3 linked regions of the Canis lupus familiaris genome follow. The protein of the gene in region 2 interacts with the protein of the main gene of each other region in a biochemical or structural test. Links are inferred from orthologs where the notes say so. Each region holds a gene or a part of one and is shown on either strand. Other genes may lie near its edges. The genes, in order: MAP2K4, MAP3K1 and MAPK8.

The links.
Region 1: of the proteins of MAP3K1 (region 2) and MAP2K4, one has a biochemical effect on the other in vitro, tested with the Homo sapiens proteins (7 studies listed by BioGRID and IntAct, with this or other methods). The link is inferred for Canis lupus familiaris from reciprocal best matches to the Homo sapiens genes MAP3K1 and MAP2K4.
Region 3: of the proteins of MAP3K1 (region 2) and MAPK8, one has a biochemical effect on the other in vitro, tested with the Homo sapiens proteins (3 studies listed by BioGRID, with this or other methods). The link is inferred for Canis lupus familiaris from reciprocal best matches to the Homo sapiens genes MAP3K1 and MAPK8.

Annotation. Positions count from the first base shown.
Region 1 is NC_049226.1:36,354,516-36,359,302, reverse strand, and holds the start of MAP2K4 (dual specificity mitogen-activated protein kinase kinase 4), read right to left. Parts: upstream 3,568-4,787; 5' UTR 3,553-3,567; coding exon 3,396-3,552; intron 2,306-3,395; coding exon 2,203-2,305; intron 1-2,202. UniProt on the Homo sapiens protein: Dual specificity protein kinase which acts as an essential component of the MAP kinase signal transduction pathway. Essential component of the stress-activated protein kinase/c-Jun N-terminal kinase (SAP/JNK) signaling pathway.
Region 2 is NC_049223.1:43,098,823-43,103,609, reverse strand, and holds the start of MAP3K1 (mitogen-activated protein kinase kinase kinase 1), read right to left. Parts: upstream 3,269-4,787; coding exon 2,787-3,268; intron 1-2,786. UniProt on the Homo sapiens protein: Component of a protein kinase signal transduction cascade. Activates the ERK and JNK kinase pathways by phosphorylation of MAP2K1 and MAP2K4. May phosphorylate the MAPK8/JNK1 kinase.
Region 3 is NC_049249.1:547,138-550,992, reverse strand, and holds part of MAPK8 (mitogen-activated protein kinase 8), read right to left. Parts: intron 2,928-3,855; coding exon of another isoform or gene 2,923-2,927; coding exon 2,777-2,922; 3' UTR 1-2,776. UniProt on the Homo sapiens protein: Serine/threonine-protein kinase involved in various processes such as cell proliferation, differentiation, migration, transformation and programmed cell death.

The sequences.
Region 1 (4,787 bases), on a different chromosome or scaffold from region 2:
AAGACAAAAAGATCCCTTTATGAAAGGGGGTAGGGAAGTAGAGGAGATATGCTGCCCTGAGTAGTGAAACAATTATCTTCAACCAATAGTTACCTGTCCCTGATACACATAGTAACAGACCAGTGCCATAAAATTCAAAGTCTAGGTCTAACATTTTAACATATCAAAATCAAAAGATTCTACCATAAAGTAAAAATGCTTATTACCATGTCCTCTCAAACTTTTAACATCTGCTGGGAATTGACAAAGGATAGGAAACCTAGCTGGTTATAGGAATATTATGAAGTGGTAGAATAAAAAAAAAAAAAAAAGATCAACTCAAATTTTGGAAAAAAAGTTTTTTTTTAACCCAGTTTACTGTTCAGGAAAAAGAAAAAAAGATTTGTCCATGAATTCCCTAATACATGATACTCTCAAAGGAAGAGGGTACAAATGATATAAATGTTTTTGCAGTTCAGGTTGTCCTTGTGTCCAAGGGGACTTTTAAAAAAAGAAAGAGAAGGAAGGAAGGAAGGAAGGAAGGAAGGAAGGAAGGAAGGAAGGAAGGAAGGAAGGAAGGAAGGAAGGAAGGAAGGAAGGAAGGAAGGAAGGAGAAAAGAGAAAGAAGAGCGAGCTACTAAGTTTGGCAATAACTACATATCCTTTATATGTGGTTCAGCTAGCAACCAAGGTAATAGACATGGACCATGTTCAAGAATTAGTTTTGTACTAGCTTTCACTAGAAATTCTAGGAAATGAGGAAGGAGGTTCTTTTAAGAATGTTTCCTTGCCACCAGAGCTTTGACTAATTAAGAGGTACTAAGAGTTTCCTTCCTAAAAAAAAAAAAAAAAAAAAAAAAAGAGTTTCCTTCCTCAGTATAGCCCCCACTTGATGTTTCAGAGGAGGTAAAAAAGCTAGACTCTAAGCTGATGTCTGACAACAAATCTCATTATGAACACCAGTCTAATAAAATTAGCAAACACTATTCCCAGGCAAGTGAACTGTTACTTCAGTTTTTTATTGCTTTCAAGTTACAGGCGAAAGCCTAATCACATACACACACACCTCCACATTGCTCCCTTCTACACATCGATGTTTTAAAAATCACAATATATTTTCAGCATTCCTATTGTGAGACACACTGCCTTCTACAAATTTGTTACTGTTTGTAAATACAATGCATGTCAGACATCATGAGGAAAGGAAACAGCAAGAAGTGTGCCTTTGGGGGGAAGCATGAATATATTTGTAGTCTAATTAGGCTTGAATAAAAATTATTTTGTTATAATTATTAAAAACTACAAGATGATATATTCTGACCATTTTTTTAAAACACCTTCCACCATTTGCTTTATTGTTCTTGATACCAGAAGTAGGTAAAAATTATCTTTATGAACATGAGTATAAATGCAAACCCACTGGCTTTGACTTGTTTGTGTTCATGATAGGTTTTGGGGGGTAGTGGGGAGGCATCATTATTTAATACATCACTGCAGTTCAAGAGATCTACAAATATCATTCTGAAGGTATTATTTTAAAGTAACAGATGTTTCTAACACTTTGACCTTCAGCAAGATGCTAAAATATCATTTTTGTATTTTAATAAAAAATATTTAGGGAAAATACACACACACATAAATAAATATATATATATATATATATAAAATACATTTTAAAAGTAATCACTGACACCTATACACCAACATGTACATGTACTCTCAATTTACTGTGACATGGAAATCTTACAGGAATGTCATTTATCCAGAAAGGGTAAATGACACTCTACTTTATCACCTGGTAAGTGGGGATGATTTGTGCAGATCTACAGAGGAGAGTAATGTTTCCTAATTACCACTTACAATTTAACTGGAGATCCAGAAGGACAGGTCTAAACAATATTCTCAGAGTTCAGCAAGAGAAAAATTGAAAAAATTGAGCTGGATCTTCAGCTCTTTTCCCCTTCAAGTAAACTTTAACAAAGAAAATTGTGTTCACCTACTTCAGACCACAGAATCAATAGCTTTCTAATTAAGTTCAAGTAGTAATTATTTCAAAAGGCCCATAAAAGATCTCTTCTCAGCCTTTTGGCTAAGACCAAGTGTCAAACGGCCCATAAGACAATGGAAATACCAATTCCTTGACTTGGAAAAATTCATAAAATACAATAACTTTAAAACTTCTGCTTGAGTTGAGCCTTTTAGTTGATTACCAGGAATACTCACATGTGTGGGTTTTGAACTCCTGTAGGGTTGGGATTCAGAGTAAACCTTGCTGTAGATTTGAAAGGTGGATTTGCAAAATTCAACTTCAGTGCTTTGCGTTTACCTAAGAAATAACAAATAAAAAGTAAAAGTTTCAAGTACTATAAAACAGACACTAATCTGAGGGCATAAGAAATTCACACCAAAAAGCAGAAAAAATTTGTTTTAACATATAGTTAATATCATATTTTGAAAGGCAACAAAGAATTTCTCAGCTTTAAGATAAAGTAAATAAAAAGGATCTAAAGTTATTATTAACCACAAATCACCCATTATCTTCCAAATCAATAGAAAACAATGGTTCAGGTTTATATCGTTCAGAGATGCTAACACTTTTGCAAAAGAAAACACCACTATAAAAATCATTCACTTTGGCAGATACACTGAAAAATACTAAAATATTACCACCTTTCCAGGGTTACACTTCAACATCTTTATTTAATAAAAATAATTTTCCCTAAAATACAATATTAACAACTGAGTAAAGAATCTGAAGCAGTCTGCAATCATAACTAAAAAAAAAAAAAAAAAAAAAAAAGTCACGGCACTGCCAACCAAGTTCATAACACAGGTATTTCAAATAATCATTTATTTGGAGCCATTTCTTTGGGATAGGGAGTAGGGAGGGAAGGTAACAGTGTTTTATATTATACAAACAAAACTTGCCCGGTATAGAAAAGCCAGAAAATTCAGAAAAGATAAAAGACAATATAAATATACAAAATATTGTATATACTTTTTTTTTTACATTTCTAAGTCCAATTATCCCCAAATAATCATTGTCTCCTAGAAACTACTTTCTATGCATACACATTTTTTTCTCTACAATTCAAATCAGACCACAATATGTTTTTTAACATGCTTTACTCACTGACCATGTTTCTTCTATGTCTATAAATCTTATAAAAACATTTCTTTGGGATTTTACTGAATAGAGACTTTGTAACAGAATTGGGTTTTTAAGCACTGTAGTATATCTTTTTCCAGAATACACTCTTCACAGTTTATTATGCCTAATTCTACCTTCTCCAACAACACCTCTGCAATCCAAATACTTTCCCATCCCAGTGGATTTGGAATATGTATGAAGGGACTCATTCTGCTCAGCCTGGTGCTTTCAATGAGATTTGCAAGTTTGAGTGTGCCAAACATACCAGTTGGACAGGACTGTAGGATAAGAGCAGAAAGCTCCTGGCTGTGACTCCCGGATCGGCTCTCAGGGATGGGCCTGTCTACAGGATAATGAGAATTCCCAAGAAGACCAGACACATCATTTTCAGAAGTAAGAATATTACAACATGAATTTTCCATGTAACCCGCCCAATTCAGGTACCAAATATTTATTTTAAACTAAGTTTTATTTGGCAGCAAGTAGAGGAAGGGCATTCAACCTATACATGCAAAAGGTACTCTTCTTAAACAGCAAATTTGGCTCTACAAAAAAGCAAACTTTCGTAGCAAATTTGGCTGTATTAAAAAGCAAACTGTATATTACCAAAAAACAAAATCTAAAAAAACAAATTTTAAGTGAAAGCTGGGGAAAATCCTTCCAATACAAAATGAGAAGAACTTTAAATATATAAAGACATCACACAAATCAAGAAAAATAGAAAAATTGGCAAGGGTATGAACAGTAAAGCAAAACTGAGAAAAAATTATGAAAGGCATTCACTAACAACAAAACAGTTTAAAGTTTTGTTCATGTGAGGGGCCTCCTGGGTGGTTCAGTCTAAGCGTCTGCCTTCGCCTCAGGTCATGATCCTAGGGGTCCTGGGATTGAGTCCCACATCAAGCTCCGCTCCCAAGTGGGGAGTCTGTTTGGGATTCTCTCTCTCTGCCTCTGCCCTTTCCCAACCCCCCTCCCAGGCACCCGTTCTCTCTCTCTCAAATAAATCCATAAAATCTTTTTTAAAAAGTTTTGTTCACGCAAAATTGGCAAAACTTAGGTCTCATTTTATACATACAACAATTTTTTTCCAATGATAATGTGACCAGGTAAAAAAAAATCACTAGTACAAAATGTTGCTGGTAAAAAAGGAAATAGCATAATTTTTTCTGATTGAAGGTTCAGCAATATACAAGAAAAAACTTTTCATGAAGATGCTCTTTCACTTCTTAGAAATTTGTCTTCAGGAAATATTGAAAGTGCCCCCCTCAGCACCTGTCACCCATTCACCCCCAATAGACGGGATGAGCACTGGGTGTTATTCTGTATGTTGGCAAATTGAACACCAATAAAAAATAAAATTTAAAAAAAAAAAGGAAGAGCAAGCAACAACAACAACAAAATAAAAGGAAATATTGAACAGCAGAAGACCGTCCCCAGGCCCTGCAACTGAAAGGAAACTGCCCTGCTGGATTTGGAAACTCCTTGGAACTGCTGCCTCCTTTCTTCCTTCATTGTTCTCCTGTTTTGAATGGGTATCTCTAGAACTGGTTTCCAATGCCTGACCCCTGTGTTTTGGAACCAAGTAACCCGGTCTTGTTTCCAGTACAGAGGGAGAGGAATTTTATGTCACAATGGATCATACTCTGTCTCACTCATA
Region 2 (4,787 bases):
ATAGAGTAATTATATCTACCAAACTCACAACAGTCTGTTCAATGGAGAGTAACACTGTAATTTTTCTTCAAAGACAATAAATAGGAAGAAAAAGTTCCTAATTCTGTAATAGAAGTTAAAATTCCAAACCCTTGGGCGCCACTTACAGGCACAAAACTTTCATTGATTTCAATTATTACCCTAAAGGAGAGGGGGACATAAAATCTTTTAATATGAGTATAACTTACATAATTTATACTCTGCAAATGTATTTTCTACATTTTCAGTTTCTACATCAAAGATAAAAAAAAACTGAAGTAAATTCTGAAATTAAAATAGAATTCTCTTTAAAAAGTACGGTAAGTCTTTAGGCAGAAGGGAGCTCCAGATCTATACTACTACTGAAACATAAAAATACTTCAAAATATCAGTGCTTTATTTTCCTCTAGGAAGTACAAAAGAAACTACTGTCAAGGACAGCCCAGGTGGCTCAGCGGTTTAGCGCCGCCTTCAGCCTAGGGTGTGATCCTGGAGTCCCAGGATCGAGTCCCACATCGGGCTCCCTGCATGGAGCCTGCTTCTCCCTCTGTCTGTGTCTCTGCCTCTCTCTCTCTCTCTCTCTCTCTCTGTTTCTCATGAATAAATAGATAAAATATTAAAAAAAAACTGTCAAAAAAGTAAAATGTAAAGTTTACTGAACTCTTTATAATCAAAGTATTCATACAAATAGGTGCAAATTAATTTCAATCCCACAGACAAGGAATGGAAGGAGAAATCACTGTATTTTCAAGATTAGAGAATCAACATTTTACTATAAATGAAGTCTGTAGGTATGACATTAGCATACTGGCTAATGAAATTCATTTTTTAAAAATGATAATGCTGATTACCTCATTAAACAAATAGCTCCTTTACAAAGAGGGGTAAAAAAAACCTGTGTTATAAAATGCAAAAACTAAGCGTGGGTTACTCCGTCCTGAATTCGATCTGCCTCCACCTTAGTCCTCTTATGGTGTGTGGTTGCCCTCACGAGAACAGATGCAATGTTATGCTCTAACATTATGCTCTAAAGTTGCTCTCACGAGAACAGACGCAATTAACTTTTAAAATTTAATGCCTAATATTTTTATCTGGAGCTCATTTGTACTATAAGTTGCCTTCAAAGAATTATTCTAGTGAGGTTTTAATTCAATCTTCACAGAAGTAGGAAAGTATAGAGAAACCTAACTCTTGTTAGACTAAGTTATATTTACAAGTGCACACAGTAAACTATCACAGCCACAAATCTCCTTTCCTCTCAAGATTGCCACGCCCCAGCGTTGACCATAATTTTTAGGGTTTCTTTTTTGGGGGGGGGGGGGTGCAACTTCCTGGTAATAAATGAACTGCGGTTTTAAATAAATAAAGAAATCGAGCTCAACAAAGTGCTAAAGCACTTCAGATAATTAACCCAAACCAAGGATTCGTATCGCCAAATTCGTCTCACAAGGGAAACAGATATAAGGCATAGTGTTTAAAATACCCAGAATAAAGGTCAGGAGACTCCACGGGGCAACGGTTAAGTATCACAAAAACATTTCCAGCAACTCGAAATACTCATCAGGACTATGCTGTGCAAACACTCCCCAGATTTCCTTTAAAAAAAAAAAAAAAAAAAAAAAAAAAAAGGATTACGGCTGTCACACTTAAGAATTTTCTTTAAAATAAAGATTTTTTTTTTTTTTTTTCAGTTGTACAGAAAGGGTCAGGCCTGGAACGGCGGGTCCTCTGGGTCGCACGTACCGTGAGGCACAGGCGCCGCCGCACTAGCGGGGCCCGGGGGCCGCCGGCGGGGAGCCCGCGCAGCCGCAGCCCGCAGGACGCCCCGCACCCGGGCCGCGGACCCCGGCCGCGCCGCACAGGCTGCGGGGAGCGGGCACCGCCGCGGGGCGACTGAATGGCTGACGCATCCGGTCCGGCTCTCGCACCGCTCGCCGAACGCACACTTCAAAGGCCAGATTCAAACTCCAAACCGAAGTCACTCAAATCTCAGTGGCGCTGTGCGCATTCCCAAGAACAGGCGGAGCCCCTCGAGGGCGCAGAGGGGAGACCCAAGTCCTCGGATATTCCGAGCCCCCGAGTCCGCAGCCCGCCCGCCCGCCCGCCCGCACCGCTTTGACAGGCGGACGGAGCCTGCAGCCCCGAGCCCCGCGCGGCCCGGCTGCCGGCGTCCGGGTCCCCGCCGGCCCGGTACCTGCCGAGGAGCTCCGCCTGTCAAGGTCGGGAGGACCTCACCGCGTCCCCCGCCGCCCCCCCGCCTCCCGGCCCCCGGCCCCCGGCCCCGGGCTGGGCTCCGCACCCACCCCGCCCCTTTCCGGGCCACCGCCAGCCTGCAGGCTCGGGCCTCAGCCCCCGCGATCCCGGGACTCTCGTCCAGGGCCGCCGCCGAGCTGCTGCCCGCCCCCCAGCCCAGCCCCGAGCGCAGCGCCGCGGTCCCGAGCCGGGTCACCTCGGGGAGTCCCGCGCCCCGGGCCCCGGGCCCCTCACCTCATCTCTACGGGTCCCCGCGGCGCGGCCCGCACGCCTGTCACATGTCCGCACACAATAACAAACTCTCCGGCGCGTCCCCGCCCCGGGTCCCCGGGCCGCCCCCCGGGCCGAGCCCCGGCCGCCGCCCGCCGCCGCCCGCCGCCGCCCGCCGCCGGAGGGGGTCGGAGGGGGTCCCCGAGGGCTCGGATCCCGACGGGCGGCGCGGGGCCCGGGCTTCATTCATTGCCTCGCCCGCCCGCCCCGCGGGGCCCCGCCGCGCCCCCGGCCGCGCTGCTCACCCGGCGGGGGCCGCTGCAGGAGGCGGCTCGGCGGCGGGCGTCCGCTTCTCCCCGGGCTCGGCCCCCGCGGGGCTCGGGGCGCCGCTGTCCGGGGCGGCCGCGGGCTCCGGAGGGCGGGCGCCGCCACGGCTCGCGGCTCCGTGCGGCTGCGGCGCCGCCAGAGGCTGGAAGGCGCTCCCGCCCGCCGCGGCGTCCGAGGGCTCCGGCGACGGGGAAGGGGAGGAGGACGGCGGCGAGGCGGCGAGGAAGAGCGGCGGCTCCGGCAGCTGGTCCAGCTCCACGCTCCGCACTTTGCGCAGCTGCCGCCGCCGCCAGTCAGCCCGCTCGCGGCCCCCGCTGCCCCCCTCCCGCAGCAGCCCCGCGGCTGCCGCGGGCGCGCTGCTCGCCTTGAGAGCCGCTCCGCCGCCGCCCGCCTCGGGGCTCGCCGCCCCGGCGCCCGGGAATCCCGACGACGAGGCGCGATTCCCCGCCGCCGCCGCCATTTTCTCTCGCGGGCTACATTCGCTCGGCCCCTGCGAGGGAGGGAGGGGGCGGGGAGAGCGCAGGGGGAGGGCGGGCCGGCGGGCGCTGCGCCGCTGGCGTAGGGCAGCCTGCGCCAACTGCGTGAGCGGGGCCCGCCGGGCGCTGGGCCCGGACGGCCGGGCGGGCGCACGGGGCCCGGCCGCGGGGGAGGAGCGGGGCCGGCGCCGAGCAGGTGGAGCGAGTGGGCCCGGCGCCCGCGCGGCCGGGCGAGGCGGGCGGGGACGCAGCCGCCGCAAAGGCGCCCTGGGCTTTGCGTGCCGCCCTCGCCCGGCCGCCAGGTGCTCCCGGGCTGCACCGGCGAGAGGAGGAGCCTCCGCGGCGGCCGTGCGCCGCTTCCTCTCGGCCGCAATCTCGGCCCGGCCGGTCGGGAGGTTGCGTTTCGAAATTCGGTGTGTTGGTGCGTCGGGCGGGTGCCGGCGAGAGGGCGTACGGCCTGTCATTCTCACCGCCCTTTGCAGGGGGCGTCGGGGAACCCGGGCGAGGACCGTCCCTCCACCCCCGACTCCGCGCGGGGCGCGCAGGTGGCGTCCAGGGTCGTTGCCTGGTGCAAAGCGAAAGAAACCCAGTGTTCAGCAGACGTGCAGCTGCAAACCAAAAAAATAAATAAAAAATGTGTGTGTTTTTCTTTTAAAGCTTTTCTCCCTTTTTGTCCTCCTCTCTCCCAACATATACAAATAAAACTTCACAGAGTTTCCTGGGATATCTTGTTTACAACCTGGAGTCAGCGATGGGGGACACCCTTCTCACCTCCTCCTCCGCCTCCGCTGGAGACACGCGAGGAGGAGCGGCAGTCTTTGTACATCTTTATTTTTTCCTGCGCTCTTTTTTTGGGAAAGGCTACGGTGTACAGGACCAACGGAGCGCGTTAGGGGGAAGGAACCTAGGCTGTGCCGGAAAGTGCTCGACAATGTCACCCTCGGCCAGGTTTCGGCCCTCCCCGAACCCAGTGCCCCTGGCGGCACGTCCCTCTTCCCGGCAGGGTCTGGCCACCGGCCGGGTTCCCCCCGCCCCCGCCCCCGCCCCCGCCCCCGCCCCCGAGTTGCCTAACGTGGCTTTCGGAGCCCGTCCAGTCCCCGGGGCAGTCTCGGCGCTAAGGTGCCTTGGAATGGGAAAAGCACCATTTACATGTTAATGACTTTCGACCTTTTTCTTCTGGCGAGTAGAGCTTCTTCTGTGAGGCGTTTATTTCTCCCCTCTCTTATTTTCCTCCAGCTGATTTGTGTGTTGGGGGGGGGGAGGCTCCTACAACTCGGGACACGCATCCCTAGATTTATTTTGCAAAATGTTAATCAAGACATGGGGATGGGTAGGAGGGAGGGGGAGGGTTCTTCACGAACAGAAAGAGGACTATCTTGTCAGTCTTCATAGAATTAGACATTAGGTCTGAACTCTGCAAAATAATTCATTTGACTTCTTGGAACTCGATAAAATGAAAGCCTCCTTCCTGACTATAAATGTTAACTGAGGAGGGTGGTGGTA
Region 3 (3,855 bases), on a different chromosome or scaffold from region 2:
TAGTCTGGTGTGAAGCACTGTGCCAACCTGGAAGAGTACACACCAGGAATAATCAGCAGCCAAGGGTGTGTGACAAAACGAGAACTGTTCAGCAAACAGTATGAAAGAGTTGAGATGCTCTATTTATATATATAATTAAGCAATCCCAACACCACAATCATTTTACAAATGATTAGAAAGTAACAGAGTAGTAACCAGGAAGAACTATGTAGAAAGAATTACTGTCTCTTTCCTATAAAGCTGAATAATAAAATAATACAGTTAATAATAAATCTTAATCAAAATGATTTTCTGACAGTAAGATGATGAGTATATTAAATATATAAAGTTGAAAAACCAAAGTTATGAGAAGGTGGCTTTACATAAGTACTGCTTAATAGAAATCTTATTTGCAATTTCTTAAAAAAAAAAAAAACCCCACACCAATGTTTAAGATGTTTTAAAGGTTCAAAAGGTTTATAAAATAAAAAGAACCAGTACATCTTTAGCTTAATAGATTTATGTAATGAGGGAAAGTTGTATTTAGATATTGTATTTTAAAAACCTAGGGCACCTAACATTTAACAGACTGTTTTCAGGATAGAATTTGTTAAGAATTTTAGTCTGCATTGACTAATAAGAATTCCTTTTCTCTGGATCAACTGAAACATGCTGGCTGGCAAGGGGGAGCTGGCATTTACAACAAGTGATACAGTAAGAACACCTGGTTTTCCTTGCTTAATCTGTATCAATAGAGATGGCTTACTGGCAATCAAACATAAAATATGAGAAACCTCTGAAAGCATGTCAGTTGTTAAAGTGCAACAGTGAAATAATCTATCCTAGGGAAAATAAAGCTGATTAACTGCCGAACTAATATAAACTAAGAACACACTCATGCTCAAATTTCCACTAAAATTGCAAATCCAATTGTTTCTATAACTCGAGGTGTAACATTCTCAAAACTCTAATTTGCTTATTAATAAAATTAACACACCATGTTGTATGAGTAGAAGAGGGATTGATAAAAAGGTTGATAACTTCAAGAGGCTAGAACTCACAACTGGAAACCATCAAAAACAAACTTGCTATTTCAAAGCATACAAAAAGGCTAATGTATTTTAATCCTAAATATTGCACATTAACAATAACCTAAAATACCTAACTCAAAAGGCATTTTGCACTAAATATATGAAGAACATGCCAAGCGAACTCTCAGACACTGCATATTGAGATGTACCAGTTCTTGCTCCTGTTGGTCATTAATTCCCATGGACTTTCTGCCTAGAATCTTGTCACTTACTTACATATGCATTTCCCACTTCATTACATGAAATCCTTCTTGTTCCAAAAATAACAAAAAATGTCTGGGGGCAATACAGAGAATGTATTTCAGAGATAGAGACCTCAATGGCATTTACTTAAGAAAAATTTGTTGTGGAGAAAGAATTCTGCAGGTATAAAATGTAAACAGTTAACATACACTTGATAGGAGCAGCACCATTCTTACACTACTCAACATCCACATTGCATGTTTTATTGAAAATTAGGTATAAAAAAACAAAGACTCAGACTAAATAACCACTACTTATGCCTGCTCTGCTCAATGTGAAGAAACAGTCCTTAGAAAATGATATCCTATATATGGCTGTGTGCTACTATTTTCAGATGAACGGTATATTGCTCATTTGATACATCACCTACAGAAATTGAAGTAGGCTTTGGAACCTCCCAACAGCTAGTATAAATATGATTATGCTACAGTTAGAATCAAATGGCCAGAAACACCTTGAGAACTGGTGCTCCCCTGACTGACACTGTGATAGGAAACCAGAAAGGTCCAAGGGCCTGAGGCTGCAGGAAAGGGAAAGACCAGACTCTAGACCACTGCTGGGACCTACAGCCTGAGTAGATTAACTCTGTGTACAAAAACAGGCTCATAGCTAGTAGAAGTGAACCATCTGTTTATTTGCATTGAAATGTATTATTCATGAAGTATCCTCTTGACTTTATGTAATCATAAGCTTTGAGCATGCCACAAATTTGTAAAAATACCATATTCTTTTTACTTTACTTTTGTTGTGTGGGGTTGGGGAATAGGAGGGTGGGGGTAGACGCCCATCATCTTCAAAGACATGCTCTAAGTTATTCTGCCATTTAGATGATGGGACTTTCGCCAAAGAACAATTGTAGGATGCCTACCAACTGTTATAATTAAATTAGGATTGGCAAGTAGCAAATATTGGAGGTTTTTTAACACGTTCATCATTTACAGTAGTTATTCCTGAATACAACTGGCTACAGGTTATTTTCCCTCACTCCTCTGGGGTTATTTCATTGATAAGCACATAACCCTGAAGGATAGCATCATGAACAAAACATTTAAAATAAAATTCTAATTAAAAAAACTATAAAATCTTAAATAATTCATGATATAGGCAAGTCACCACATAATAGTTGCTTAAACAAAATCTTAGAAATTCAGTAAAAAAAAAAAAAATCAGCAGCATAAGATAAAGCAAATATGCAAAAATTTTAAACCATGATAAAATAATTAGGTTTACATTATACAGTTAATTACAGCAAAAATACAATACAGTTTTGTTGCTGTTTTAAAACACAACTTAAGTTTTAAATTACATCACTTGAAATTAAAAAAAATAAACTACTTTACTACAAAATGAATTCTACATTTTTGAAAAATCACTCAAAAATAAGACCACTGAATTGTTTTCAAAGTAGTTCTATCAATGACTAAATGACTCCCCATCCCCCCACCCCCCAAAGGCCCAAGTAGTCATCTACAGCAGCCCAGAGGTCCAGCTGATGCTTCTAAACTGCTGTCTGTATCTGAGGCCAAAGTTGGATCTGTTGACATTGAAGACACATCATTGACAGATGATGACGACGATGGATGCTGAGAGCCATTGATCACTGCTGCACCTGTGCTATGAGAAACAAAACAGCAAATCAGTTGCAGACAGAGTTGCATGCCGAGCTGCCTATACTGTATTGGCTACCTCTAGTGATCAATAATTTTTTTCTCTTGGCTTTGAAAAGGCTCATTAGATTGTGTATGAATAATACTGATAAAACATGCAAAACTGTCTGTACTGCATTTTGTTGGAGAGAGGATCTCAAAGGGATATATGGCCCAAAAGGTTAAAAGACTACTGCCCTAATAAAAATTACTTATCTTTTCACTGTAAACTCCAAACAATATCCTGGCACATCTTTTTTAAAAAAGATTTTAAAACATAAAACATAAAAGTACAAGAAGATTATTTCCTTTACTGGAAGTAAGTTAGCTATAGCTAACAAGCATTTCCTGGATATGTATCGATATAATATATATACATACATACATATACTTACCTATTTATTTATGATTTATTTATTTATTCATGAGAGGGAGACAGAGAGAGAGAGAGAGAGAGAGAGAGAGAGAGAGAGAGGCAGAGACATAGGTAGAGAAGCAGGCTCCTTGCAGGGAGCCCAAAGTGGGACTTGATCCCTGGACCTGGGATCACGCCCTGAGCCAAAGGCAGACGCTCAACTGCTGAGTCACCCAGGCATCCCATCTGGATTTTTTTTAGAAAGTAGCAGGAATAAATAACCAATAGAGAAATCCTTTGAAGGGAGTTGGGTTAGGACATAGGAGGGAATGTCACTGAGGGATGGGAAATATGTTAAAGATGATTCATGTTCTAGGTAAGTATGTATTTTTTTTTTAAATTCTTCTGAGCTATGTGATCAAATAAGAGTCATTCCAAATTTGAGCTTATTAAATAATACAAATTATACAGAAGTTCTTAAGAATACATTTATGGAATAAAAGCAATGGTTTTCATATTGAGCAGTAAGCATTTCTAGGGC